7 linked regions of the Danio rerio genome follow. The protein of the gene in region 4 binds, or shares a complex with, the protein of the main gene of each other region. Links are inferred from orthologs where the notes say so. Each region holds a gene or a part of one and is shown on either strand. Other genes may lie near its edges.

The links.
Region 1: snrpd2 (region 4) and smx5 share a complex: the UniProt entries of both Homo sapiens proteins name them as parts of the U4/U6-U5 tri-snRNP complex. The link is inferred for Danio rerio from reciprocal best matches to the Homo sapiens genes SNRPD2 and LSM2.
Region 2: snrpd2 (region 4) and prpf6 share a complex: the UniProt entries of both Homo sapiens proteins name them as parts of the U4/U6-U5 tri-snRNP complex. The link is inferred for Danio rerio from reciprocal best matches to the Homo sapiens genes SNRPD2 and PRPF6.
Region 3: snrpd2 (region 4) and prpf31 share a complex: the UniProt entries of both Homo sapiens proteins name them as parts of the U4/U6-U5 tri-snRNP complex. The link is inferred for Danio rerio from reciprocal best matches to the Homo sapiens genes SNRPD2 and PRPF31.
Region 5: snrpd2 (region 4) and crnkl1 share a complex: the UniProt entries of both Homo sapiens proteins name them as parts of the minor spliceosome. The link is inferred for Danio rerio from reciprocal best matches to the Homo sapiens genes SNRPD2 and CRNKL1.
Region 6: snrpd2 (region 4) and cwc22 share a complex: the UniProt entries of both Homo sapiens proteins name them as parts of the minor spliceosome. The link is inferred for Danio rerio from reciprocal best matches to the Homo sapiens genes SNRPD2 and CWC22.
Region 7: snrpd2 (region 4) and lsm6 share a complex: the UniProt entries of both Homo sapiens proteins name them as parts of the U4/U6-U5 tri-snRNP complex. The link is inferred for Danio rerio from reciprocal best matches to the Homo sapiens genes SNRPD2 and LSM6.

What each region holds. Positions count from the first base shown.
Region 1 is NC_133181.1:30,702,347-30,707,217, reverse strand, and holds smx5 (smx5), read right to left. Parts: upstream 3,309-4,871; 5' UTR 3,233-3,308; coding exon 3,230-3,232; intron 2,814-3,229; coding exon 2,746-2,813; intron 2,634-2,745; coding exon 2,603-2,633; intron 2,511-2,602; coding exon 2,451-2,510; intron 1,589-2,450; coding exon 1,463-1,588; 3' UTR 528-1,462; downstream 1-527. UniProt on the Homo sapiens protein: Plays a role in pre-mRNA splicing as component of the U4/U6-U5 tri-snRNP complex that is involved in spliceosome assembly, and as component of the precatalytic spliceosome (spliceosome B complex).
Region 2 is NC_133198.1:7,069,042-7,073,147, reverse strand, and holds part of prpf6 (pre-mRNA-processing factor 6), read left to right. Parts: exon of another isoform or gene 1-2,184; intron 2,185-2,384; exon of another isoform or gene 2,385-3,316; coding exon 3,317-3,479; exon of another isoform or gene 3,480-3,580; intron 3,581-4,106. UniProt on the Homo sapiens protein: Involved in pre-mRNA splicing as component of the U4/U6-U5 tri-snRNP complex, one of the building blocks of the spliceosome.
Region 3 is NC_133191.1:35,273,612-35,278,426, reverse strand, and holds the start of prpf31 (U4/U6 small nuclear ribonucleoprotein Prp31), read right to left. Parts: upstream 3,167-4,815; 5' UTR 3,062-3,166; intron 2,957-3,061; coding exon 2,747-2,956; intron 2,656-2,746; coding exon 2,595-2,655; intron 1,621-2,594; coding exon 1,537-1,620; intron 1-1,536. UniProt on the Homo sapiens protein: Involved in pre-mRNA splicing as component of the spliceosome. Required for the assembly of the U4/U5/U6 tri-snRNP complex, one of the building blocks of the spliceosome.
Region 4 is NC_133193.1:43,800,991-43,804,445, forward strand, and holds the end of snrpd2 (small nuclear ribonucleoprotein Sm D2), read right to left. Parts: intron 1,325-3,455; coding exon 1,150-1,324; 3' UTR 867-1,149; downstream 1-866. UniProt on the Homo sapiens protein: Plays a role in pre-mRNA splicing as a core component of the spliceosomal U1, U2, U4 and U5 small nuclear ribonucleoproteins (snRNPs), the building blocks of the spliceosome.
Region 5 is NC_133195.1:52,274,682-52,279,379, reverse strand, and holds the start of crnkl1 (crooked neck-like protein 1), read right to left. Parts: upstream 3,006-4,698; 5' UTR 2,955-3,005; coding exon 2,907-2,954; exon of another isoform or gene 2,451-2,906; coding exon 2,298-2,450; exon of another isoform or gene 1,594-2,297; intron 1,364-1,593; exon of another isoform or gene 1,332-1,363; intron 1-1,331. UniProt on the Homo sapiens protein: Involved in pre-mRNA splicing process. As a component of the minor spliceosome, involved in the splicing of U12-type introns in pre-mRNAs.
Region 6 is NC_133184.1:45,378,391-45,383,031, forward strand, and holds the start of cwc22 (pre-mRNA-splicing factor CWC22 homolog), read right to left. Parts: upstream 2,964-4,641; 5' UTR 2,933-2,963; coding exon 2,870-2,932; exon of another isoform or gene 2,724-2,869; intron 1-2,723. UniProt on the Homo sapiens protein: Required for pre-mRNA splicing as component of the spliceosome. As a component of the minor spliceosome, involved in the splicing of U12-type introns in pre-mRNAs. Promotes exon-junction complex (EJC) assembly.
Region 7 is NC_133176.1:39,352,330-39,356,435, reverse strand, and holds the end of lsm6 (U6 snRNA-associated Sm-like protein LSm6), read right to left. Parts: intron 2,934-4,106; coding exon 2,820-2,933; intron 850-2,819; coding exon 815-849; 3' UTR 620-814; downstream 1-619. UniProt on the Homo sapiens protein: Plays a role in pre-mRNA splicing as component of the U4/U6-U5 tri-snRNP complex that is involved in spliceosome assembly, and as component of the precatalytic spliceosome (spliceosome B complex).

The sequences.
Region 1 (4,871 bases), on a different chromosome or scaffold from region 4:
TATAATAAAATTAATTAGAAGCTGTTAAAATATATTGTGACTGAAAAAAATCCTGTGAATGTTACTTAAACTTTTTAGAATGCAACTTTAAAGTGAACTGTGCTATAAACAAATTAAGAAATATATTCGTGTTTTTTTTTTCCTTAATATTTTTCGCCGCACACCCTGTGGTACTTTTAGGGATTTAAAATTACTAAATGTAAGGCAAGGTGTATCCTACTGAAGAAAAATGAATAAATTATCAAAATTGAAAATCATGGCTTGTCACGGTTTAAAGTACTATGCAAAATGACACTCAAAAAATCTTTACTACTATATAAAAAAATAAAATAGTAACCCTCCCTAATATGAATATTTAATAAATTACATACATTGTAAAAACGACAACAAATGTTTTCATTACTTTCCTTTTTTAAGTTAATCAGTTTAACTTAACATATTTGTCATTTGACTTATAGAAATGTAGATGACAATTTATTTTGAACTAAAACACCTAAACATATTTTTGTAGTGTGGTCTACATTCGCTTTGATAAAGCCATGATTACTTTATTAGCGCATAAAAGTGCCTAAAAAACACAAAACAAAGGCACTGGTATATTTTAGGAACAGTAACTACGAGTTTCTTTTACTCTAAACAACTTACTTTTTTGTTTGGGACTAGGCTGTAAACTACAGGTGTCAAATTCAGTTCCTGGGGGGGCTGCAGCTCTGCACTGTTTAGTTCAGTTTAAGTAAGCACAACCAGATTAAAGTAATTAAATCTTTCGGGCTTCTTTGAAACCCAACCCTGCTCCAATACACTTGGAACTGAACTGTGCAGGGCTGCAGCACTCCAGGAATTGAGTTTGACACCTCTGCTAAACTATCCATTCACCTTAACCCAAGGGTGTCCAAACTCAATCTTGGAGGGCCGGTGTCCTGGAGATTTTAGCTCCAACCTGCCTCAACACATCTGCAATTATGTTTTTAGTAAGAGCTTGATTAGCTAGCCCTGGTGTGTCTGATTGGGTATGGAACTAAACTTTGCAGGACACCAGCCCTACAGGACCGAGTTTGGACATGCCTGCCTAAACCAAAACACCAGCATTCCACGAACATAATTTGTAAAATGCTGTCAGCTGAACTCCAACAATGGACGATTTTTTCCACCAAAAGGAAAGTGTGAAAACAGAGGAAAATACTTTATTTTTGCATCAATGTGTGAACCTAACTAAAAGTCATTGGTATGCAGTACAGAACTTTACCAACACTCATTAAAAGCACACAACCACTAACTTGTGAAGTAAAAAAAAAAAAACAGTAAATCACACCCTCAATAACAGGCTTCACATGACGTAAAAATGAAAGAGAAAAAAAAAACTTTACATGTTTTAGGTAAGAAAAACATTTAAATCAACAAAACTCCACAGATGATGCTTCTGAACATTGGAACAAAACCAAACTATTCTCAAATATAAACATTATTGTTTCTGTTGTGTAGCTTCTTTGCGTGCAGCATCCTGTAGTAGCTGTGTGTCCACTTCATCTGCAGGAAGCTGAACGTATCGCACCACTGATCCACGAATGAAGCAGTTCTTCACAGACAACTACAACAAAACAATATTAGAGTCATCTATATACACCAAAGTTCTCCTTGTTGAGCACCTACATCACTATGACAATTCATAAATCACAGACTTAATAACCTGATCTACATTAATTTAGGAATCAATTCAATTATCAGGGTTCCCTCTTTAACCCTTTAGCTGCCTGCTCTATCAAATGGTTGACCGTATTTTCACCGTTTTAAATAATGGTTTTCACTACACAGCATTGTTGGTTTACAAAAAAAAATCCTGTTGCAATTCTACACTTGCTTTCTAGTTAGTTTTTTTGACAATAAAACCAAAGCAATGTTATATGAGAATCTGAAAATATTTTATTGCATATTTCAAAAAATAAAGATGACTTAGTATTCAAAAAAAAATTTTATTTTGAATATTCTTTAAAATAAATTGGTCCTACACTTGCTATTTTCAGATTTTTCATAGTATTAATTTCTGTACTTTTACCATAAACCAATATATCAACCATGACATGAACATAACAGGCTTCTGTAGTGCTTATAAAAAATTGTAATATTAAATTAAAAATATATTGAAATGGTTTTAGCCATTTTATTACATTCATTTAATAGCCACTATGAGAACAACAAATGATAATTTACTTAATATAAAAAAAAAATACTTGCGGTTTGCATGGCTGTAAATATCAAATATATTTTAATAAAGAAAAGCTAAAATGTAAAGTAACAAACAAAAAATCCCTGTTATTCCATGAATCTGACAAAAATATATCAACATTTCCTAAATTTCAATGTCTGAAATGAACCTTTTAAAATTCCATGACATTGATAAAGATATTAGACCCAAGATTATGAGTGTAATTTTCATTTCATCCATTTCTCACCATGTGCGGATATTTCTCTGGATCAGTAACACTGATATCTGTCAGTTTGATGTTCAGGTACTGTGAGGGAAGAACAAATGACAAGATTAACTTAATCCTAAATCGCCCAATATTTGTTTATATTAATAAACGTGTGGAGTCAGTTTCCGTACCTGATCAACTGAATGTAATGTTCCACATATGCTGCAAAATAGATGTGTTCATAGTTTTACGAGCTGGCACATACATTATAAAATATGTATATTCAATTTCTAATTATATATATAATATTTGTAAAAGAAAGGTGAGCACTCACCTCAAGTCATTCTTGAGCTCCACCACAACATCTTTGCCAACCAAAGACTTGAAAAACGAGTAGAAGAGCTGAGAATAAACATTTGAAGGAATTACTCTCAAAATATGAGGCGGACAGCAAATAAGACATCGATAAAACGATTGAATCAAGTTTTATCAACAGACCAAATGAGAAATGTCAACAGCAAATAACACTGCTTTCTAAATTACGCAGGCAAATGAAATACCAAGACTTTAATATAATAGGAGTCAGCCAGAGTTGTTTCTGTTGGGCATTTAATTAAGGGGATAATCCTTGCTTGAGAATGTTGTTTTATTTGGCTATGAAGAAAGCTAGCGTTAGCTGTTAGCATGAAGCATTGTTTGTCTTTCTCGCGAACACAGTGGTCAAAAAAACCTAAATATGTTAAACAAATGGTCGTAGCACGTTTATTAATTCCTTAAACGTAAATTACTGTATGATATTGCTAAATAACAACACTTACCATTTTCACGCGGCTTTGTGCTTTAGATCACATACGTCATCAAAAAGCTGCCGGGTCTTTCACTCTGTGCTTCTATTGGCTAGAAGAATGAAGACGTAAAAATCCCATTGGTCGCGAAATTGTTGGCGTTTTGTTCTGTTTTTGCGTCATTTGTACTCATCTCAGTAAATTATTCCGCAATCGTTCATCACACAAAAGAGATTAAAAGGCGCATGTTCAATGGATGTGAAATATTTTCTTAAAACAGTCAACTTTATGCCCGAAGAGGTACATGACATGTCTGACACAGAGCTTGCTGATACACGTACATGGCTCCTCTTTTCTGGCAATTCCCTCTTTCGTCAGCAGATGGAGACAAATAATAATAAAGCACAGTCCAGGGCTCAGGTTAATCCTCTGCGTTATCCCCATTTATAAAACAAAAAAGCAGTCCACTTACAAAACGCTATATTGTAAAACAAAACAAAACCTCCACGACATGCTAATGATTATAATGTTTTTCACGATTATGTATTTATGTGCATCCAAAAAATGTAAATTCAGCCAATTTAATCAATTTACTTGTTTAAAACCATCTTGATCTTTCCATATTTTGAAGAACGTTGGGAACCTGTAACCATTGACTTTAATAGTATGACAAACAAATACTATGAATGTCAGTGCTTACAAGTTTTCAACATTTCTGAAAATAAAAATGGATTTTGGATTCTCTATAATTTAAAGATAAATGTTCCTAAACATATAGAGCCTTCTTATAACATTATGCTTTAATATGCATTCTCCTGTTTTTAAAAGCAAGCATTCTGAAAATTACCTAGAATGAATATAAGCAGGGATGGGCAGTATTTATGATAGGGTTGATGGAAATGGCTTAATGTTTTGTATTAAAAATACATTAATGTCTTTTATTTTTGTAGTTTAAAATATTGTAAAATACTTTGATGCTAAATGTTTGTCACTGAAACAAACAACATAACAATAAGTCCTACAATAAGTCCTACAAAAGGGACTAAGCCGAAAAGACAATGAATGAATAAATGAGTGGCGATTCCGATGCTGTTTCAAATGCCAGTAGTTGATCTGCAGATGCACTGTACTGTTAATGAAAAAGAAAGATGTACTGTATGCCTAAACATGTAAAAGTGACAACATGAGAAACGCACATTTAATAATTAAAAACTTCTGACAGGTTATACAGAAGGAACATGATATAATATATGAAAAGTTTATTTGCAAAAAAAGATAATTTTTTGAAAGTTTCAGAAATCATGTTTTTACACTGAGTATTAAAGAATCAGTTTAATGGTGAAGGGACTGATCAAATGGGCTTATTAATGAAAGGTTTGCCAACAAATATCATGTTCCTATTTAAAAATATTTTGTAGAATTTTTTAAAATACAAAAATACTGTATTTTATTTTGATACATTTTGTGGCTGAGGTATTTTGTAGTTTATTTTGATATACTTAAACTTATGGTTTTTGGTATTTTATTTTAAAATATATTTAAATGTTTTTGCCCAACCCTGATGATAAGCATTTAAAAACAACACATAAACACACAGACACAGGCTGCATCCGAAACCGCCTACTACTCAGTAGGTACTGCAGTTGAATTTAAACGTACTACTCAGCCGTTAGAA
Region 2 (4,106 bases), on a different chromosome or scaffold from region 4:
CCAGAAATTTACCGGTATCACTGTGTGAAAGGGGCTATAGTCATGTTTTTCAGACAAAAATACGTAGTTTAGCTGTATTGAGATGTGTGAAATTTAATTGAAACTGAAAAAAAGGCTATGCAAAAGTTTGGGCATCCTTTTTCGTGTGGATTTCACAACCTGTAGTCATTTAATGCTGATTGATTACAACACAGAATTGATTTGAGTGACTCTTAACTATCCTGATACAGGTCAAACCAATCATGAAAATGGATATTTAAGATAGCTGATTGCTAACTACAAAATAGTAGCATAGGATCCCTAAAATAACTTCCTAATGATCTAAAAACTAGGACAATTCATCAACATTAATTAGGTGGATGCAAAAAGCTATCACAAAGGTTTAAAGTCTATATCTCCACAGTCAGAAATATAGTAAGAAAATGGAAGGCCCCAGGAACAGTTCTTGTGAAGGAAAGATGTGTTTGACCAAGAAAAAATATCTGAAAGGCAAAGGGCGAAGAATGGTTAGAATGGTCACAAACAAACCACAGACCACCTGCAAAGAGCTCCAGGAACAACTTGCTGCTAATAATGTCATTGTAGATAGTTCCACAGTTCAGCGCACTCTTCACAAAGAACAGCTTAATGGAAGGTGATGCAGAGGAAGACTTCTCTGCATTCTGCCAACTAGAAGATTCGTTTGAGGTATGCAAAGGCTCATCTGGACAAGCCTGAATCATTTTAGAAAAATATTCTGTAGACAGATGCCACAACCATAGGCGCTTTGCATGGTGGAAAAAGAACAAAGCATTTCAGGAGAAGAACCTGCTCCCTGCTGTAAAATATGGTGGAGGGTCCATCATTCTGTGGGGAAGTGTGGCAAGCACATGTACTAGAAACCTTGTCAGAATTACAGCAAAGGTTGCATGGATTTTACCCAGTATCAGCAGATTCTGAAGACCAATGTTTAGGAATCAGTCAAGAGGCTGAAGTTACGGCAGGGTTGTATGTTTCAGCAGGACAATGACCCAAAACACAGTTGCAGATCTACCATGGAATTCATGCTCCGACATGATACAATGTTCTGATATGGCCATCCCAGTCCCCAGACTTAAACATTATTGAGAATCTATGGGTTGGTTTGGAAAGGGCAGTTTATGGTTTGCACCCATCAAACCTGACTGAACTGGTGAAATTTTGCAGGGAAGAATGGACCAAAATGCCTTCAGCAAGAGTTCAGGGACTTATCCTTGGCAATAAGAATCAACAACAGGCTTTTATTTCAGCATAAGTTGGCTGTACAAAACATTGAAGTTATTATTCTGTTAGGGTGCCCAATTTTTTGCACCTGTCTGTTTTTGTTATTACATCTGCTGATTAAATAATTAATATGTTATGTTCTGTCAGAAGTGAATTGTTGCTTTTTCCCTAGGGTATAAAATATATCCAAATGAAATTGCTGATTTGGACAGCCAGCAGGCTATGGCTTTTGTTATGAAAATTATCAGGAGTGGAGAAATTTGTACATAAAATTGTAAATTAAAGTCTTGTTACCACTTTACAGACAGTTGTGCTAGCTTTGAAATTTAATAATAGAAAAAAGGCCTGTTTGAGTGTCTTGAGTACATTGGGTACACAAGTGTCTTGGTACATTTGGTTCAGTTAAAACAAACTGGTGTAGTGCTTCTGTTTGTGCAGTTTATTTGAAGGAACTTGAGCTCTGCCAATCATAAGTTGGTGTGCTGCCATGTCTGCCATGTTCCTGGTAGCCTGCATAAACAAAATGCATACATATGAAGAGTTCAGATGCGAACACCTCTAAGTTCTGTCTGAAATATCCATTGAAAATGAGCATTTTTCTCAGACTCTTATGTTTATGTTGAGTTATTTTATTTTAAGGACCTTTAAAAGAGTGTATTCTTTGCCATAAACTTAAATTTACTGAACCTACACACAGGACCCTGATAAAATTGATTATTTTTGAAGGAAATTTCAAATGGCTTTTAGAGGTTTTTGCATCTGAACTCTTCTAATATGGTTTAAATGTATGGTTTCATTTTGAGATGCACAGATTTTTTGCTGCTGAATATTGCAAAAAAAGAGAAAACTGGCCAAATATATGAACCACAAAAAGGTTATTTTGTGCTGCTGCACTGGCCAGTATTGCTGGTTTCACTTTCACTTAAAGCAGGGATGTCCAAACTCGGTCCTGGAGCGCCGGTGTCCTGCTGAGTTTAGCTCCAACTTGCTACAAACCACCTGCCAGGATGTTTCTAGTGTATCTAGTAAGAGCTTGATTAGCTGGTTCATGTGTGTTTAAATAAGGTTGGAGCTAAACTCTTCAGAACACCTGCCCTCCAGGACCGAGTTTGGACACCCCTGACTTAAAGGGATAGTTCAGCCAAAAATCTAAATTTGCTCACTCTCTTTACACTTCCTCAAGTTGTTCTAAACTTTTTAGGGTTGTTAGAAATATCGTTTGATACCAATCTGTATTTTAAATATGATCACTGTTGAGCACGTTCTTAAACATTGCTGATTAGCCACTGTGTTCATGCTCAACAGAAATGACTGTGGTTGGCTGTGGAGCATTTGAAAGCTGTGTCAATCAGCAGATCTGTCTATGTGCTGACATATGAGCAATCTGATGGATCACTAGTGCCTGTGACTCTGTGCTTGCACTTGGTGAACAGCGGTGAAGAGTGATGAACTGATGACCTGTACAGCCAATTATAGCCATTTCTGTTGAGCATCTGAGCACAACGACTAATCAGTGGTTAAGCATGTAAATGTTAACAGGAGATGGAGGTTTTTTAAGTTTCAGGAAAAAACCTTTAGACTTTGACAGCCCTAAAACCTTTCGAAAATAATTTCATGCTTCTGTTGAAGATAAAATTATATATTGTTGAAGAAAGCTGAAAACCATTGACTTCCATAGTAGGAAAAAACAAAATTATGGAAGTCAGTGGTTACAGGCTTCCAACTTTTTTTAATATTCATGTTCAACAGAAAAAAAATAAACTCATAATTGTTTGAAACCAGGAAAGGATTAGTAAATGATGAAAGAAATTACAGATGCATTTGAAAGCTTCACTCTGAGGTTAAACTTTGATCCAATGAATAAACAATGATTCCACAGTGCTATGAACTATATCGTCTGGTCAACTAAAAACCCAACTGGACTGTGACTTGACTAGCATTGCGTACTCTCACATTGTGATATCGATGATAAAATGATACATTGTACGGCCCTGATGAGTGTTTTATATGTGTGCATCAGCTTCACTGTGTGTGGGCATGCGTGTATAACCCGTGTTGTGTTTTGTCTGTTCAGAGTGAGGATGTTTGGCTAGAAGCTGCGCGTCTGCAGCCTGGAGACACAGCGAAAGCAGTAGTTGCCCAAGCAGTGCGACACCTCCCTCAGTCTGTGCGCATCTACATCAGAGCCGCTGAGCTGGAGACGGACATCAGGGCCAAGAAAAGAGTGCTCAGGAAAGGTCAGTCTCTCTCCGTCTCCCTCTCTTTCTTTACTTTCTCAGTCTCTCCCCTCATCAGTTTTCTCTTTCCACTGTCACTGGCTCTTTTTTCAGGTGCATACCTGTATGACAGAGACAGATGACTTGTTAGTTATGTAGGATCTTTTATCAGTCTCAGCATGTTAAACTGTCCTGAATCTCCGCCTTTATAATAAAGGATTTCTAAATAGTCTGGCACTGCTACTTCATCAATGTCTCTCCGATGATTAACTGGTTAACTCTATGTAATAATTTCAAGTAATTAGTACGGTTTTAAAAAATCTTGTTGCTCTGCCATTTTAGTAATGGCTGATTATTCATGAGATGATTTGCATAAATTGTTGGCATGGCAGTGTGGGGTTATATTTCACACACTGTGTGACCATACTGATTTTTGATTACTGATTTTTTGAAGAAGAAGCTGCATGTGTAGCGAGCATTGACTGATATCAATAGCTCTTTTAAGGGAGAAAGAGAGCCTCTGAAAGCATTGAATGTCTTTCTCTGTCCATGTTTTTGGCTCAGAATGTCATGCGAATTCTTTAGAATTTTCCAGGGGCCTCATGTACAAAGACTTGCATTCAATTCTCACAGAACTTGCATGTAAAT
Region 3 (4,815 bases), on a different chromosome or scaffold from region 4:
TGCAATCATGTTTCAAAATGAAATTATTGTTCAAAACACTAACACATGTTCTCTTCCAACATAAACATTCAGTCAATCAGAACACACTGACAATAAAAACACTATCATCAGCTGACATTACAGAAACTCCATTAGTTTATGTGTCAGCTCTGCCCTTATATTTGAAGTCTCGTTACAGTTTTGTTTCGTTGGGTTAAGTAAATGCATGCATTTTCTTTCGTTTACGGCAAAAATTCTATACGAAAGGAAGAAAAAAATTGCTTTATAAAATTTACAGTTTATGTAAAAAAAATACAGACACAGAATTTCTGCAGTACAGACTTTTTTTGCAGAAGGACATCACTGCAAACAGGAAAAGCACCACAACTATAATAAAATAACAAAGTAATCTTCTATACTTCCCGGTCTTTTGCCACAAGTTCTCATCCACATTATACTTGATATCTTCTGTGGCCCGGCACGGTAACTGTGGCCCTTTGGCCTATTATGTTTTTCCTACGGCGACATCCCCAGCCTTGTCAACATTGAAAATTTCATGTGGTACTTGATTGGCCTCTAACTTCATGACTCTCTGAAAGTAATTAGACACAGTGTATGCAAATGCTGTACTGTATATGTACTGTATGTACTAATGAACTCCATATATATATATATATGAGAGAGACTCATATTGCGGTTATATATATATATATTTAAAAAATAAATAAATATATATATATATATATATATATATATATATATATATATATATTTATTTATTTATATAACCGCAATATGCTGTTTCTCATTGGCAATTGAATAAAATAAAGGGAATAAACTTGTGTTTCAATTCACAATTAGAACAGCTGTTCACTTTGACTTTATCCTATATAATTTCTGTTTAGAACATGGTGTTATCTGTTCTGACATACTGTGTTAAAGCATTTGTAAATTTGACTGTAAAATTACATTGTTTTCTTGGTTGTGCTTGTGTGTAAAAGAAGTTAAAGCATTTTAAATTTGTGTTAACTGGATGCATTTTGTGTCAAAACAACAATAAATGTGTTAATTGTATAGCCCACGAAGACGGATGTTGTGCTAACTGTGTTAAGAGTTTAGGAAACTTGTTAAATGTATTGATAAAAGTGTCATAGCAATTGTAAAAAACTGTAATAAAGTCTGCATTTTGTGTGTAAATCAGTGGTGTGCCTTCTTTACTACAGACAAACTCAAGCACTGTCTGCCATTTCACTATACGAGGACATTAACTTCATCTGCTATGCTCCAAGAGCCACTTCAAAAGCATTATAACATTTTATGAAAAAAACTATAATAATAATAATAATAATACAATGTAAAAAAATAATGTATGCAGAATTTCACAGAATTTCAAATTCAGAATATTAAAATGCAAAAACAGTCAGAATCATGGTAAAAGCTCATTTGGAAAAATGAATAATTAAGCAAATATATCTGAAATTTGCCTTTATAGCTTTAGTGTTACAATTCATATAATGTGAATTTAATACACAGGTATAAAACAAACAGTGAACTCACTAAGCTCGTTGTCTATTTCCACCGTCAGATTGTTGGCGGCAACAATGAGCCTGTACTCTGGGTCTGCTTCAACCGGTCCAGACACTGAAAAAAGAGGAAATACCATGTTAAAAAAAGTTTCACTTGTGCCTAAAACTGTTTAAATTCATTTCTTTGGTTGAACATAAAACCTGTAACCCTTGACTTCCATAGTGTTTGCTTTTAATAAAGATGTTAATGGTTAAAGTTTTCAAATTTATCATCAAAATATTTACATTTTTTGTATTCAACAAAATAAAACAAAACAAAAACCTCATTGAACCATTGAGGGTGAGCAGATTTTAATACCTAATTTCACCATCCCTTTTAAACAACGTTAATTAAAATTAGTATTCTCTATATGTATTAGACATGGTCTTCTACAGTTTAAGGGGCTTCATAGTCTTCACCTATCAAGGAGTAAGCTGGCAAAAATGTATTCAGGGTCAGATTCATCTTGCTCCAGATGTGGTTTGAAGCCAGCAGATCTGAGTTGTATGTTCTGTGGATGACCTAGATTATCTCAATTCTGGACCAATATTTTAGATCATTTTCATCTATGTCACAATGATATGGATCCTGATTCTTTGACTTAATTTTTTAAGTTAAAATAAATGTTCACCAGCACGCTTTACAAAAAAAAAAAAAAAAAGTTACTACTTATCTTCATTGATGTAAAGTTAGTTTTATATTTGCACATTCTGACTCTCACCCTCTTAATGCAATTTCAGGGAAGTATTTTACAAATTCTAAATAGAGAAATCATATCAGGAGCCCATGACTATGAAAATACAACATTGTGCAGTCAAACAGTAGAACTAATGTTGTTTTGAAGTCTGAATATTTAGCCTGAATTGGATTTCAGAAATAATATCCAAAGTAGCGTGACAAACAATGCAGGGACCTTGTCACAAGTAGTTACTTTGTGTTTAAATTATTACGTCATTATAAATAGTCTGTATTAGGCTTTTAAAATCTGCTTTAGTATTTTATTGAACACCAAAGTCTGAATGTGTGAATAAAAACAACCTCAACGTTACCTTCTGAATTCTTGCGTTGATTTCCAACATAGTGACTGATTTTATCCATGATTTCAGCGAACTGCAACATATCAACAAGTCTGCAATAAGTTAGGTTCTAAAAATAGATCTGAAATGAAGCTGTGTGTGAGTTATTGATGTCAGAAACTGACCGGTTTGCTGTGTCGTAGTTTAGCTATGGACGTGACGCTCTCCGTGCTGCTGTAATCCACCTCCATCTCCTCCGGGATGTCCTCCAGTCCTCCATCAACTTGTCTTTCTCCGGGCTCTCCATCACTCTCTCCCTCTTCTCCGCCGGGATACAGCCCGTCCTCTTCTCCTGCCTCCTCCAAATCCGCAAGCAGCTCGTCTGCCAAAGACATCTACGAAGACAGTGAGAAAATAAATCACAACTAGACAATAAACACTGCTGTTTGATAATCGCAATCTTTAAGAAAGTGTTCAAGGTAAAATCAGACCAAACTTACAACTCAACCCGCCTGTTTTCTTCTCACTTTATGGAAAGAACAGAAGCCAACATGCAACGACTTACAAACGCCAAACAACGATCTGCAGTCGCACAGTAAATACGTCACATGTTTCACAGCAAAGGCTTCTGGGAAATGTGTTCAGGAAGATTCGAAATAAAAAAGTCCATGACCTATTTGTTTTTTTTTTGCTCCTTGTACACATTTTGGACATGAAAGAAGTTAAATTTTGAATGATTAACAATAATTTGGATGCATGGATTTGTTTAAGGTATATAGGTTCATTCCACTATGGTGTCGAAGGCAAATGAATTAATAAATGAAGTTTGTAAACTTCATTCTTTCATTCATTCATTTTTCCTTTGACATAGTCCCTTTATTCATCTGAGGGCACCACAGTGGCACCACACCACCAACTTATCCAGCATATGTTTTACGCAGCCGCAACCCAACATCAGGGAACACCCACACACTTTCATTCACACACATACACTACAGCCAAGTTAGGCTACCCAATTCAACTGTGCCGCATGTATTTGGGGGAAACCGTTACCGGAGCACCCAGAGGAAACCCACGCCTACATGGGGAGAACATGTAAACTCCACACAGAAATGCCAACTGACCCAGCCGAGGTGACAGCATTACCCTCTCCGCCATATCGCTCCAATAGTCTCCATCGCTCTAATGAATTATTGTGCTCTAAAACCAGGCCTTTCAGTCTCATTGTCCAACTGTAGATGTGTAATACTTTTATTTTAAAACGAATTTGTATAATATTTGAATAATATTGACATTCACAGTGCACTGTTACTGTTCATCTGCTAGACAAATCAGTTTTTAGATCAATCACAGCCCTACACATGCAAAACTGTGCGGTTATACTTAGTAATTTTGTAAACTGAGTTTAAAAAGTGTGAGTTTAAGAGTTCAATTATTTTTCTAATATTAGTCTAACGTTTCTCTACATTAACACTGATTTGGTCATTTCCACCACAGCTGTCATTTCCATCACCACACATATTTAAAAAAAAAATTTAAGTTCTTATCACACTTTAAAAATGAATTCACAATTTATGAGCTCATGCTCTATTTAATACAAATTCATTTATTTTGTAATAAGCTTTTAATCAAATTAAATTTTAGAGTGTGACAGGTGTACAATTCAGCATTTGGTCCTAAGAGACTCATTTATTTAATTGACAAATGTATAATTATTGTACACATTATGGAAAGATTGGTTAAACTGGATATAAAAAGGATCTCAGACAACTTTTTACTGCCATAATTGATTTCATTTTGAAATAAAAGCTGTATATTGAGATGTGATGGAAATGACGTTTGCTCATTTTATGATGGAAAAAATGTTAAATATAAACAATCTCTCTTCTTATCTAAGTTTGTGCTCTTACACATCTTAAAACTAGACAAATTGTTTAAACTTGAGGCCAGGATTTGTTAATTTTTACTCAACTTCACAAGACTAAAAGTGCCCGTAGTTGAAAAGTTTCCCAAATACACATTACATTACATTGCTGAAAAGCCTGACATCAACCTAAATTCTTTTATTTGGTTATTATATTAATATTTGTGTGTGTGTGTGTGTCTGTAAAAAATAAATAACAGAATAATAAAGATGTTATGAACATAGCATATAAATTGTGAATTAAATTGTGCTTCAAAAAAAAGATTTAATAGATATTTTGATTTTAAATAATATTATAAAAACGTTATAATACAACTAGAACACGTTATT
Region 4 (3,455 bases):
AACACATTTAATAATACAATAATAATTTTATAATAACATTTTATTTTTAAATATTTTAGACATTTCTTGGCAAAATATTTTAAACATTGTATAAAAACAAGCAAGCAAAATACACTCTCTTTAAACAACTGATCAAATGTTAATAAACTAAATCTATACACAATCTGTCCAAGTTGGTGTCAGCAGTAAATATATGGAGCACTTTTAAACAAATGTTTTTGTAAGGAAAATAATTAAATCATTATGATAAAACAGAGTTAAAAATGACCCTTTTAAATAAAAAGGTTAAAGTTTGGTATTGAGATTAGGATTGTTGCTGTTGCTGATGTGCAATAATGGCCAGATTGGGAAGCACAACATCAGGGTTTCTGCAGGTTTCTTCAAATCAAGTGCAAGACTTTAAGACTCTTAAGACCATGAGTGAAATTTTAGACTTATACAGGGCTAAATATTAAAGTTTTTTTTCTGATGGGTCGGTTACTTCTATAAATAATTTGTATAATGCTGGAAGATCATGTAAAGGGATTCATACAGTAAAAATGTCAGGCTAAATAAATAATGAAAATGAATCATTGACTTCTGCTGTTTTCATTAGTTTCAAAAGCACAGATTTCTTTACAATTTAAAATGACATCTTTGAATATTTTTCCAGCTGGAGATAATGTTGTCCTAAAAAAAAAAAAAAAAAAAAAAAAAAGGAAATAAACTATTTACTATATTATCCTACATACACCCTAGACACAAATGAAAAGATAATGATGACGGTTTTAATACCTTGACTTTTCCGAACAGCAGTATACCTTGAAAACGGTTATCGTTCCATGCCTACATCCTAGAGTCATACAATAGATTGAATAGATCAAGACTTGAATATCCAAAAATTTATTTAGAAAACAAATCACAAATGACAAAACAATAACAACAACAAAATTAACTCCAACATCTTTATCATTTTGTTGACCAGACAATCTCTCCAGATGATGTTAAACGTTTTCCAGCTAAACATTATTGTTTCAGCTCAAGGCATTCTGTGTATGAAGTAATAATTAATTAGCTGAAAAGCCTAATTAGCACTTTTAACACAGTTGTGTGAGTGAGTGTGTGTCCAGGAGACAGCCTGTACTTGAACAGTCGTGTTACACGTCAGCTTTATTTCCCTGTGATGAGTGGGTTCCTCAGCACCACGATGACCGAGTCGCCTCTCAGGAACATCTTGGAGATGTAGCGATCTTTGTTCACTGGCTTTGACTTCTTCTTGCCTTTGCCGCTCTTGGGCACCTCTGTCCACATTTCTTTCACATTCTCCAGAACCATATTACAATGCCTGAGAACACGAGAGAAAACAGACAACAACTTGACATGCAGCCATGTAGATGACTCACTCCAACTAAAATAATGAGTGGTGCGGACCTGAAATAACACCATCAACATGAGATATGCGCTGGAGGATGAGACTGAAACAAAATTGTTAATAAGATTTCTTTAAGACTTTTGTGAAGTGTTAGAAATGGTGAAGTATTGGGTGGGATTTAAATATATCCCCTTATACCTTAAACTGGACATCTTATGTAAATGCTTATGATGCTTATTAAGAACATGTCAAATGTATTACAATAGAGAGAGCATACTGTGTTATGAAAAAAATTGTTTATATATAGTTTATATACTATATAGTAATAGTTTATATATTATATAGTAACAGTTAATATTATGTTTATATATTATATGTTATATAGTAATAGTTTATACTATATAGTAATAGTTAATATTATGTTTATATATTATCTTATATATTAATAGTTTATATATTATATAGTAACAGTTATTATTATGTTTATATATTATGTTATATAGTAATAGTTTATATATTATATAGTAACAGTTATTATTATGTTTATATATTATATGTTATATAGTAATAGTTTATTTATTATATAGTAACAGTTAATATTATATTTATATATTATATGTTATATAGTAATAGTTTATATATTATATAGTAACAGTTAATATTATGTTTATATATTATATATGTTATATAGTAATAGTTTATTTATTATATAGTAACAGTTAATATAATGTTTATATATTATATATGTTATATAGTAATAGTTTATATACTATATAATAATAGTTAATATTATGTTTATATATTATCTTATATATTAATAGTTTATATATTATATAGTAACAGTTATTATGTTTATATATTATATGTTATATAGTAATAGTTTATATATTATATAGTAACAGTTATTATGTTTATATATTATATGTTATATAGTAATAGTTTATTTATTATATAGTAACAGTTAATATTATATTTATATATTATATGTTATATAGTAATAGTTTATATATTATATAGTAACAGTTAATATTATGTTTATATATTACATATGTTATATAGTAATAGTTTATTTATTATATAGTAACAGTTAATATAATGTTTATATATTATATATGTTATATAGTAATAGTTTATATACTATATAATTATAGTTCATATTATGTTTATATATTATCTTATATAGTAATAGTTTATATATTATATAGTAACAGTTAATTTTATGTTTATATATTATATATGTTATATAGTAATAGTTTATATACTATATAATAATAGTTAATATTATGTTTATATATTATATATGTTATATAGTAATAGTTTATATACTATATAATAATAGTTAATATTATGTTTATATATTATATATGTTATATAGTAATAGTTTATTTATTATATAGTAACAGTTAATATAATGTTTATATATTATATATGTTATATAGTAATAGTTTATATACTATTAAGTAATAGTTAATAATTATGTTTATATTAGACTTGGGCGGTAATACAGTAATATAGTATACCGCAGGATCTAAAAATAGCCACGGTGTCAGTTTCAGTACCGTTATACCGTCATAAAAAACATTGAATTTAAATAGTAGACAAGTATTCAATATTAAATATCCTTTATTTATTGCCTACAAATAAGTATGCGTGATTGTCATCACGGGACAGTGTGGAGGAGAGAGAGGGAGGGAGAGTTGAGGTGGCGAGTCGCGCACTAAGTGACCTGCAGTTTGGCAGTATTTCCGGATTCGACCGAACAAGAAGGAAGACGTGGTAAATATGAACTAGAGGTCTGCATTCCTGCTGCTGTACCGCGGGGGACAACCCGATTTCTTGTTGTGCAGGAATACATTTCCGAATATGCAATCTGCGTGTGTCACTTGGTGCTCTCTCTCGGTGTGTGTTTGTGTGTGTGTGAATGAGAGAGAGAGAGAGAGAGAGAGAGAGAGAGAGAGAGAAAGAGAGTTGCTGGGTGTTGCTTGGTTCTCTCTCTTCTTTTTCTCTCTATCTCTGTGTGTGTGTGTGTGTGTGTGTTTGAAGAAAGAGCGTCCTACGCAGAAGAATACAAACAAGACAAACAGGTGACCGCAAACCTAAGGTC
Region 5 (4,698 bases), on a different chromosome or scaffold from region 4:
GCATTTTCTAAAGTAATACAACCTGTACTCAACTTTTTGCTTGTACGGTAACTCTGAACTGTCAAAACACCCTTAGAAAAGTTTTTTTTTTTTTCGAACATTACATATTTGTACATATGTACATCAATGTAACACGTTTTATTCAAGAACAATTGAGCTGGTTTCAGTTGTTAGCTCTTTCATTTTCATCTTATTTAAATATATTTAACTTGCTTGTTGATTAAATCCTGTTTTGTTATTTAACCTATTATTTTTATGCAACAGTGAAGTTGCATGTTAATTTGCTATGAAGAAAAGGAAATAATTAATTTTCTTGCATGCTGATTTATGTGAAATCGTGAATATAGGTCTATATAACCACCTTGCAATTTTGAAATTATAGCTTTTTTGGTTTGAGTAGACTTTTCAGTTCATAAGAGCAGTTCAATCTTTTATTAAGTTTAAAAATATAACATTTTTAAACATTTATAATTATCGACCTATATATATCGACTATCAGCCTCCAAGTCTGAAGAGTTATTAGTTATCGATATACACTAAAAAACCCATATCGGTGCACCCCTAATTATATACCACTGACAGTGGCATTTTAACTTTAAGATATTAATATAATTTTATTCTTTTTGACACATAATATACTGATGACATATTTTCTGCAGATGCACTATGTATATGAAGCTTTTAAAGTATGTATCACAATAATACCATGTGTTATTGAGTTTAGTACATGTATACTAGGAGTTTTATAGAAACGAACATCAAATGCGAAACATCAAATTGACAAAACCTTTACACTGGTAACATCATGTTGTGACCAGATGTACCTTGTTGACATAGCATATTCAAAGCATGAACATTAGGGGTGCAAGATATTGAAAAATAAATCAAACATTGACATATTTTGTTTTTCTGTGATAAATAATGCAAAATGAATATAGGTCCATCAGATGCCTTAACTCTATTTGGGAAGTGTTTATTAATTCAGACTGATTGCAATAAAGGATTGAATCATGCATAAAAAAATAACAAAAAATTACAAGTATTGTTACTTTATGAATTTGTCAAACAGCAAACAGGTACAGGAATTGCAAAAAAATCAAATGTAAATAAAACACTGCATCTTCTTTATTGTAAAAATTATTTTAAAAATGTATCTTTATTAAAGGTACAAATGGTCTAATTTCTTGTGCCTGTGTAACAGGGTTAAAATAATGTTTAATTGTCTTTCACCAAAATGGGTTATTTTGTTTATTTTGTGGCTGTTGAGAGACCTCTTGTGGCAACAGTGTGTAATTGTTTCTTTCACCTTTCACCTGCAAAACCCCGCCTACAGCAGAAAATGGTTGCAGAATGCAGAAAGGCGGTAGGTAAAATGTGCTCCAGCTAAATGTGACAAATTTTGTATTTTAACACATATTAATAACACATACAAGCCCAATATGAACATTAAGTGATGTTTTAGATCAAATCTGTCGAGTGATTGCCGTGTGTGACAAACTTTGTGTGGTTTAATTTGCTCATGCTAGGTGTAGCTGGAATGATGACATTAATATGTGCAAGGGTGATTTCTTACTATTTGTTTGGTTTTTTTAGATGCATGTTTAAATGCATACTGTTGCCAGATGATGTATATTTCTGTTACAGGTATGTTAACCTTTTGTAAATAAATAATGTTTTGTTAAAATGACTTTGTGGCAACACAGCAGAAAATGGTTGCTGAATGCAGAAAGGCGATGCATGTTTAAATGCATACTGTTGCCAGAGGATGTATATTTCTGTTACAGAATAAACAACGCAGAACGCAGTTCTCTGTGTCCGCCTGAGTGATTTGCGTCTTCAGGAAGAGAAGCGTTACACCTGGATGCTTTATACGTTCTTGAAATGTTCATACAGCGGCAGTCCATAAAACACAGGCAGACTTCCACTTTATATACATATATAAACTGTCTTCTGGTCAACTATAAACCCAACAAGACATTGCATATCCTCTGAGTTTTCTGAATATGCACTGTGATAATGCCCATGTTTTCTAGAGGTTTACCATAATAAAATAATACATTTAAACCATAGCGATATCATCTTTTATAATCTACACACCATATCAATACCATATTTTCTGAACATCATGATAGCACTGCGCACATTCTATAAGCAATTGTGACACTACTGTATATTTTTGAGGCATATGCCATGACAGAACCAAGCTTTCAGTACATGCACAGTAATTTAGTACTACTTTATGACATATGCATATAGTGACACCATGGTATACTACATGGTGATACAACATTTCATACCTTTCTCTTTTTCAGTTTGTAGTCATTGAGCTCTTCTTTATCGGTGATCTTCTGTTTGGGTGGCGGTGGCAGCAGCTCGAGCTCTCTCTCTTTGGCCTCTCTGAGCAGCTGCTCGGCGGTGATCTGCACCTCTGCAGGGGCTTTATTCTTCACCTGAACACAAACACAAAACCATTACAAAACAAGACAATCTTTAACCCATCTGGTTATAGTTCTATACATTATACAGTTGTTATTTTCAGAGTGGCACAAGTTCACGTTGTTTACAAGCTAATGCTAACTCACAGCTTTATTCTTCACATGAGCATTAATACAAAACCATTACAAAGCAAGACAACCTTTAACTCAACTGATTACATGTATACACATTATACATCAGTTAACTAATTATAAAGTAACGTTAGCAGAACTACATGTTGTTTACATGCTAATGCTAACTTACAGGGGTTTATTCTTCACCTGAACACAAACACAAATACATTATAAAAAAATAAGCTTAACTCCACTAACCACATTTATATACAGTAGTTAATTATTAAGTAACGTCAGCACGACTTCACGTTGTTTACATGCTAATGCTAACTCACAAAAACATCATATAGGTTTTACCTTCGCCACTTTCGGGATTCTCTGTTTGCCCGCCGCGGTGGACGCCATGATTATTACGCTCCTGACACTTTATTAAAAATAAATTAGACGTATGTTCTTGTGTTTTAGATTTCGAAAGCCCGCTAAAACCTGTAAGGTTAGCGACGTTTCAGTGCCGTGTGTGTCGCGCCTGCCGTGACGCGCTGTGACCTTTGCCTGCATCTACGTCACGGAGCATCTCACCATGGTGACAGGACGCTTGCTAGCGGTTAACGTTATCAATAAATAAAAGGTCAGCAGTTTGAGGCTGTTAAAACTCAGTTTTTTATTGTTATACACCAAAAATACCTGTTTAATTGTTTTATGTTGCTTGTGTATCGACTTTTTGTCAATGTAAGTGAATGCTTGTTGTTTTAAAATATTTTTGCCTATTATTGGCTAGTGACTGAGTTCAAAACTCAACATTTTACATTAATAACGTTAACTTACCTCAATTAAATACCTTAAACGTTTGTTATTTATTTGTTTACTGTTAGATCTGTTTATTGTTAAACCGAATTTTCTTCAATGTGTGTGAATGTTTATTTGTTTTTATAAAGGTTAGTGACGAGGCTCAAAGTAAAGTTACATGTAACGTTATGTTATTTAACTTTATTCGCTCACTGTTAGATTTTTTTATAGTCCGACCTATCTTTAATGTAAGTGAATGTCCATTTTTATTAATTTGTTAATTATGTATTGCTTGTTATTGTGTATGAAATAACCGTAAAGAGTTGTTATTTATTTGTTTACCAAAATAAGTCTGTGCGTGCACACAGACGAAAAACATATAACGTACAATTGAAGTCAGAATTATTAGCCCCCTTTGATTTTTTTTCTTTTTTAAATATTTCCCAAATGATGTTTAACAGAGCAAGGAAATTTTCACATTATGTCTGATAATATTTTGTCTTCTGGAAAAAGTCTTATTTGTTTTATTTTGGCTAGAATAAAAGCAGTTTTTATAAAATAAATAAAAAAATAAAATAAAATTTAAGGTCAATATTATTAGCCCCATGAAGCTATATTTTTGTCTACAGATCATTACACAATAACTTGCCTAATTACCCTGACCTGCCTAGTTAACCTAATTAACCTAATTAAGTCTTTAAATGTCACTTTAAGCTGTATAGTAGTATCTTGAAAATTATCTAATAAAATATTATTTACCTGTCATCATGATTAATTAAATAAATCAGTTATTAGAAATGAGTTAGCAAAAACTATTATGTTTAGAAATGTGTTGAAAAGAAATCTGCTCTCCGTTAAACAGAAATTAGGGAAAAAATAAACAAGGGGGCTAATAATTCAACTGACTTCAACTGTATATTACGTCTACAGTTGTGCTCGAATGTTTACATACCACTTATATAATCTGTTAAATGTGAATAATTTTAACAAAAGTAGCAACATAATACAAAATACATGGTAATTTGTAATAAGTATTGTACCATACACTCCTCAAAAATCTTTATTTTATATTCATGTTTTTAATAGGAAGCTGCAGTATTATATTTGTGCAAATACATTAGTCAGTACTGAAGCCAAATCTGGAGCTTATCAAACAAAACAACTTACAATAACGGCCCAAAAACTAGAAAAGCCAAAAAATTTTATAGGAAAATATTAAATACAATTTTTTTTTTCAAAAGAGGAAAAATCAAGAGAAGCAAAAACAAAAAAGGAAAATTTTGTTGAAATTTTATAGGTTGTAATTTACTTTAGCTAAATTTAGCTTGATTTTATTGTATTATCTTTCTATTTCTAAATATGT
Region 6 (4,641 bases), on a different chromosome or scaffold from region 4:
TTTCTGCAAACTTATGGCAAACTACTCTTTCAAACATGGATCTGCCATTCAGCAGGTAGGCTGGTATTTCAGACTTAGACACACACACACTAAGAATGCTGAGCACTAAAGGAATAAATCATTCAGAAACACACTGCATGGCCGACAACAAAAAAAGGATAATATATGAGTAAGGGGAGCGAGAGCAATATCAGCACTTCTACATAAACCTAAAAAAGCTGGACTGGAGTTTCTTTCAGTGCCAATGAAAAGAGTGGCATCATTGCAAATTACAGCAAATAACTAACAGCCAGATCATGATTTAAACCAGCGATGTCCAATTCTGCTCCTGGAGGGTCACACCGTCCTGCAGAGTTTAGCTACAGATAATACACAAGCCTTAATGTTTCTAAGGATCCTGAAGACTTTCACTAGCCGTGTCGGGGATACTGGGAATAAAGAGAAAGCTACCCACAATAGGAATGGTTACGTCTTTAAAATTGTGTCATCTAAACGCTTTTCAATGTGCTGCATCTTAAAGAAAAACATCTTATTCCTGCTGTCGTTGTTCTTAAAGGTGCAGTAGGTGATTGTCTTTAGAAACATTTTTTGCTGTGCTGATTGAAAGTCTCTTTACATTCCAATAGTAATGACTGTAGTAAATGATCTAAATGTATTTATATGTATTTTTCACAGTTTAAGGGAACTACACGCTGGTGAATGTTTGACGCTGGTGAAAGCAATTACTTTGTGCAACTAATGGGTCAAACAATCATCAAAATTATGTCACAGAATGTTTTATTTTATGAGTGAAGTCTTTAATGTGCTTTTAAATCATTTTATTATATTCAAAGCAGCACTTAGATGCGAATTTATCCTGAAAATGTGGCATGAGAGCTATGCATGTCAAGTGTCGGATGATTGCCTTTTTTGGGTGCATTTCTGATCCTTTTGCATAAAGGTTTTAATCAAAAGACAGGTAATTTAATTACTTTCGATGTGCTAAAATTTTTGTTAAACGAATGCTATTTTAAACAAGCGCATGCACATATTAAAACTGTAAAACAGACTTAAGTGCATGGTCTAATCGGAAATAAAGCAAATTAGTTATACATTTCATTATTTAATGCATAAAATAGGCTAGTCTTTTTATAAATTGAGTTTAACTGATTTGAAACTTTTAATTGCATTTTTAGGTCTTGTAAATAATAAAAGTTGCATCAGATTGATGAAAAATGAACCTGAATACCTGCCTGAACAGGGCCACAATTACTTGTTCGTGTCTAAGAAAGTTGTTAACCCCGTTTAGAGAATCATTAAAGGCTGATTTATACTTCTGTGTCAAGCGCACGTATGCTACGGTGCAGCCTACGCGTTGACGCATAGCCCTACGCAATGGCCGTCGCTGACATGCACCTCTCAAAAAAATGTAATTACATGTCGCAGTGACGCGTAGCACAAGATCTGATTGCTCGGCTTGGTAGCGCTGGAGATTCAGGATGGGACCAAGCGGAGCTATTGTTTACAAGTGTAGAGACTCGTGAAGGAGCTCCGGATGGAAAGTTTTGTTTTGTATTTACCTCATGGTTAAAGTTGTTGCACGTCCGTCGGTTCCTGCCTCAAAATGAGTGAGTTTGAGCCACTTGTACATTTAGGAAGCGTTCAGAAAAAACAAAACACTAGTGAAGAACCTCGACACAAAGGAACATTAACACCTGAGTGCCAACTAGCGTTTCGGAAGTGTTATTGCAGAACAACAGAAACAGTGCGCAAAAGTATAAATGCACAGCTACATGCGTTGCATGCACCGTGGGTCACGACGATCACTTCACGCAGAAGTATAAACCAGGCTTTATGGGTGTTTTACATTATACCTAACAAGGTTCAAATGAAGGATCTGCAACAGAGAAACTACGGATTTTGGTAAACATTCATCACTACATCGTTCTTTTCCCAAACGATGTGTCATACTATGATAGTTCAGCCGCAAATAAATAAATAAATGTTCAAAGAGATTAACAGTACATGTTAAAAATATATTTATGTACAAAAACTGTTTTTGTAATTGCAATAGTATTTCATAATGTTACTGTTTTCAAAATAGTTAAAGCCCCAAAAATAGCACAGGTACATAAAAACCATGTTTGGGGAAAAAGACCATAACATACTCTCCTAACTTAGCATAAGGTTTTAAAGGGCACAGCAAAATTATAACAATTTAATGAACGTACAATACAATCTAAGCAGTGAAACAGTTTAATAACAAACTTGTACCAATATTTGGAGTTTAGGCATTACGTTTGCTAATCTTAAACGAAAAATTCAGCCAAGGTCATATATTATTAACACGGACTTTCAATATATTTAATTCACTAACGTATGTATTAAATCAATATGCACAAATGTTTCCTATCATAAACGATACGATGTTGTCTATAGATTTCTCTTTATCTCATTGCTTTTAAAATAGATTTCACTAACGTGATATAAAAATATGGAAATGTCGGCCTACGCAATAAATATGTAACGTTAAACTAGATTTTGATTAACATTAAGTTACTTGTTGAACGGTAATTGGTTTATATTGTTATCGTTTTCGGCCTAATCCCTATCGTAACTTGTCTTTCAAATGTAACTTGAATTTTACAGACACTCAGTGGACTAAATGACAAACATAATAGTTTATCATGGGTTTAAATCAGAGTGTTTATGTTCATAATGTACACAAATGATCTCACACAAACCAAAGCAGCGCCATCTGCTCCACGCGTGCAGGCCCACAACCCGTAAAATCCCACCGGAACACATCCACGAGCCGCTTTAAAACTGCTCAGCGCGGTCAAACAAACATATCGACTTCATAATCTGGAACTAACAGCGAAGTTCTTACCTCATCTCTCGATGTAGGCCCCATATTCATTGCCGTCTGAGATTCGTTTGACTCAGCCGCCATCTTTCCCGCCGTATTCCGGAAGTGATGCTACGGGGCCTCGCGAGGTTCCAAAAGTGTGGAAAAACGCGTTTTTCTTTAGCAGTCAAACTGCAATACTGAACATATGTTGGATGATTATCATCACTGATGGAAAAACAACTATGCGTCAGGAAACAGATGCCTTGATATTATTTTTACATTACATTAATGGCTTGAAGCTAATTTAAGATTCTGTTTAGAACATAGGTAAGAAATGTAAATATAATGATTAATGGGAAAAACAAAGACTACTATATTTTTCCAGGAATCAGAGGTGTACTGTATATTTATGCAAATATTATTTTCAGGAATCACAGCTATACTGTATGTCAGAATTGTTTTAATTAACCATTGATATAGGATTTGCACTTTCACAACCGTACAATAAAATTAATTAAATAATTTTCAACATTATTATTATTCATTCATTTCTTGTCGGCTTAGTCTCTTTATTAATTCGGGGTCACCACAGAGGAATGAACCGCCAACTTATCCTTATTCAGTTTTTACGTCGTGGATGCCCTTCCAGCCGCAACCCATCACTGGGAAACATCCACACTCTCACACACACACACACACACACACACACACACACACACACACACACACACACACACACACACGCAAACACACACGCAAACACACACGCAAACACACACGCAAACAAAAACACACACACACACACACACACACACACACGTTTGTAGCTCATGTTTTTGGACTGTGGGGGAAACCGGAGCACCCAAAAGCAGGGAGAACATGCAAACTCCACACAGAAATGCCAACTGAGCAGAGGATCGAACCAACAACCTAGCGACCTTCTTGCTGTGTCGTGACAGCACTACCTACTGCGCCACTGCGCCGCCCCATTATTATCATTATTATTATTATTAGTTGTAGTAATAGTATAAGTAGTAAATATTAATACTTAACAAATAGAAACAAAAACAGAAAATATCAAACCATTATTTTGGGCATTGGATACAGCAATAAAATGAAATAATATAAAATAAAACTATTGTTAATGAAATGTAAATAAAAATATTTTAATTTTCACAAGATAAATGATTTAATAATTGGTTTGTTTGCTTTTATAATTTAAAACCAAGGTTAAAAAAAAAAACTCATTTTTATTATGCACAAATTTGCACACACTTCTAGAACAAAAACATTTTTTTTTTGGATGAATTTAAGTGCAAAATTCTTTTTTTTTTTTTTTTTTGACATAACACACTCTCAGAAATAAAGGTACGCGAGCTGTCATTGGGGTGGTAACTTTTCAAAAGGTACACATTTGTACTTAAAGGGTCCATATTGGTACCTGAAGAGTATATATTAGTACCTAAAAATATTAAGAGGAACACTTTTGTACTTTTAAGGTAATAATACGTACCCTTGAGGTATTAGTATGGACCTTTTAGGTACATATTTGTACCTTTTGAAAAGGGACCACCCCAGTGACAGCTCACGTACCTTTATTTCTGAGAGTGTAGAGTAAAATGTTTCTACAGAGAGGATTTAGTGAATCTCTTTTTAGTACATTATAATTCAGATACCATCAAGAACAGATTTTCACTATTTTAATGTTGAATAAAATGTATAGTGTATTGCCTATAATCAGATCTACATGAACAAACTGAGTATGAAGATATATATTAAGATACGTATAAACAGAGATTTGGGGAAAAAAT
Region 7 (4,106 bases), on a different chromosome or scaffold from region 4:
ATACATTTTTTGGTGACTTTCCTCATAAAATTTCTGCCAATACTTGTGGCATTTGTTGTTTTGCTGTGGCTGAACGTGCATTGCAATAATGTCCTGTGAATTGTGTAAAACATGTCACACACCTAAAGAGAGGTGCAGCAATATGCCATGTCTATTACAGCTCAAGGTATTGAAAATTTTGATGAGCATTTTCTATACGCAAATATAATGTTATATAAGTAAATAAAGAGCAAGAAATCTGAGAAAAAAAAAAAAAAAATTGCAACCTCTTCTAAAAACTTGCACAACTGCTGCCTATTTATCTATTGTAGGTCATAGAAATTCTGCTTTTTAGTTAATAAATGGTCAGGGAATTCAACATTTAACTTTCCTGAAACCTTGAAAAAAAATAAGACAACAGAACAATCAGATAGATTTGTTTAAAAAAAAAAAAAAATGACAACATGCAATGAAAGTCTGTTAGATCAAATAAAGTGCAACAGCTGGTAGATTACGCATTGGATAGGAAATGTGGAAATAAAGAAGCTTTCAACAACCTCCAGACTTGAAAGTGCTAATCAGCAATTTCTTATGACTGAATTATCACTGTTTAAATATTCATAGGCACCTCGAGAACTGATAAATCAGGGAAACATGAACACAATTTATTGTTGGAAAACAAATGATTTACTGCATCGTTCTGCAGGACAGCAAATGTGTGTTACAAAACATTTAACAAACTTAGACATCATCATCAGCTAACAAAGGATTTATGAATATTAACAGTAAACAATTGACTTCTCTAACAACGCATGAAGAAATAAGTAAAGCAGCTTCACATCTTCCTCTTCTGGGTGCTGATGTATAACACTAGAGGGCAAAGAAAACAATAATTTACTTTGTTATAAGCATTATCTTTGTAAGTCTGAAACTAACATACTCTGAGCTTCTGAAACTGCATCACTGTTTTCTGTTTAAAGGGATTGTACACCCAAAGATAAACATTTAGGCTACATTTATGACAATGATGTAACCAAAAAAAAAAAACCATCTTAGCTTTACCCAAAACACCTACTATTAGGGCTGGGCTGATAAACAATGTTATATCAAATCGCAATAGATTTTGGTTCAATAACAATGATAAGCTCGGGACTTTTTTATTCTATGTTGATCTTAAAGCCAATCACAGACCAGAAATGTGCAACAAAGGGAATCTAGAAGTGCGTTATTACAATTTTGAATATGCGCATTAAAAAAATATATGGAAATGCCAAGATGTTCATAAATTTTGAAAATGCGCATTAAAAAAATGGATGCGCATAACTGAGTAGGACAAACTTTATTCCATACGAAAAGATACACATAAACTACAATGGAAACACTTGTACCAAACAAGTTCCAGTAGGCACAAAAAAAAAAAAAGTAATGTGATTTTGTTATAAGAGATAATGTGATAATGAACATGTGTGAATGGTATTGTAATACATCTGAAATGTTGTTTTTGGCATTCTAAAATGCCTTAACAGTTTTAATATTAGTGTTATCTTATATTATTAATGATCTCCAGAGCCGTAAAGAGCATCTGTGCTCCGCTTTTGAGGCCTTTAAATGCCACTGAGGAGCAAGTCCATTTATGAAATAAAGAAAAGATTTTTGCAGCTTCTCCTACCGCAGCAAATTTAATTTTTACTGTATATATTTGGCACCTGTTATTCATGAAATGATGATTTTGTTCACTTTGACTCGTTGGATGAAAAGGTCTGCTGCATTTGCACATCTTATGCAATATTCCAGTTTTGCGCATAAAGTTAATTCACATTTTTGGATGTTAACATGGGGGATACTCTTTTAAATCTGGAAGTATTAACAACTTATATCAAAATATATTTTGTTATTGTTCAATATTGAAAATAATTATCATATCGCCCAGCACTTCCTACTATGAAAAAGCATGATGTCATCATTTTTAAAAACTCCCAGTTGTTTTGAGCATTTACACAAACAGGAAAACGCCAGGGTTTTCAAAAACTTTCACTTTGTAAACTACTTTCAGATTTTTGTGTTGACTAAACAAACAGGAAAATGCATGAAATGTTTTCCATTTTAGGCTGAATACCTTAACCCTTTTTTATCACTTAGTTTCTCTCAAACGATTCCAAACCCTCATTAGTTTCGTTTTTCTTCAGAAAACAGATGAAAATATTCTAAAGAATGTTGGTAAACAGTAGCCAAAAATTCCAATGTAAAAAAAAAATTGTACTTGGGATTTCAATAGCCATGTTACCGTCCACCCATTTTTATCCACATATTGCACAAAAATGCTTAATGGAAATGTGCATCAATTTAGAAAATGTGCATATGCAATACGAAAAAAAAAAACGTACATTAACTATGATGGAAACAGATGTACTGAATAAATTGCAGCATGCACATGAAAAAGTCATGCGATTCTGTTTTAACAAATCATCTGATACTATAAATGACAGTGGGACAGCATTAAGGGAGAAACCAGCAACTCAACCAAAATGCACAAGCGACCTTCTTGCTGTGAGGCAACAGTGCTAACCACTGAGACACCATGTCACCCATTCTGATGTTATTTGATCGCCAATATTTTATGCAATAATCCAGCTGTGCATCTAATTTACATATTTGAATGGAAAGATAGCTCATGGCAACTAGTTACCAACATTCTTCAAAGCATCTGCACCTTTGAAAGAACAAAAACTCAAACAGCTTTGAAAAAAGTAAGTCAAGTAAATGATGACAAATTTGATTTTTATGTGAACTATCCTTTTAAGGAGCTATAAATAACAGAAAAAATATAAATAAAGACCTACCATTATTTCCTCTGAGGAATGCATCTCCATACTTGTTCTTCAGTTGGCCGTTGACATATTCCTCTGTCTGTTCCACCGCAATATTCATGTAGCCGTCAAGGCAGGCCAGGACTCCTGAAGGCAAGATGCACATTAAGCATGACGAAACATTTACATTATGATTTCAGAGGATTTCTTGGAAGATCAGGGGTAAAGGCAGGACTGTGTAGTGCTTGTTGGAAAACTTAACATTCTCTTCAAGTGATATTTAAAAATTCACAAGATTCTGCATTACGATTGGGTGGGTGTGAAAGTTAAACATCCCACCCACAGTTATGCACCTCCAGACTAGATAAACTCTGAGTCAAAATGATGTTTCTCTGGGAATATATATTTTTCTAAGTATTGGATAACATAAGACCAATTTTTATTTTGATCAACAGAATATTTTTATTATTAATTTTTAACAACAAGTTCAATCTCTCAGTTGATGTACATCAATAACAGTTACATATTTAACAAAATAACTAAATAAATAAAACATAAATTTATATATACAGTTGAAGTCAGAATTTTTAGCCCCCCTGATTTATTAGCGCCCCTGTTTATTTTTTTCCCCAATTTCTGTTTAATGGAGGGAAGATTGTTTCAGCACATTTCTAAGCATAATAGTTATAATAACTTATTTCTAATAACTGGTTTATTTTATCTTTGCCATGATGACAGTAAATGATATTTTACTAGATATTTTTCAAGACACTTCTATACAGCTTAAAGTGACATTTAAAGGCTTAACTAGGTCAATTAGGTTAACTCGACAGGTTAGGGCAATTAGGCAAGTTGTTCTATATCAATGGTTTGTTCTGTAGACTGTTAGGGAAAAAATAGCTTAAAGGGGCTAATAATTTTGTCCCAAAAATGGTTTTTAAAAAATTTAAAACTGCTTTAATTCTTGCCAAAATAAAACAAATCAGACTTTCTCCAGAGGAAAAAATATTATCAGACATACTGTGAAAATGTCCTTGCTCTATTAAAAATCATTTGGGAAATATTTAAAAAAGCAAAAAAAAAAAAAAAAATTCTAAAGGGGGCTAATAATTCTGACTTCAACTGTGTGTGTGTGTGTGTGTGTGTGTGTGTGTGTGTGTGTGTGTGTATATATATATATATATATATATATATATATATATATATATATATTAGGGCTGTAACGATACACCAAACCCACGATTCGGTTCGTATCACGATTTTTGACCCACGATTCGATTCGTATCACGATTTTTTATTTTATTTTTTTCGTGTGGGATG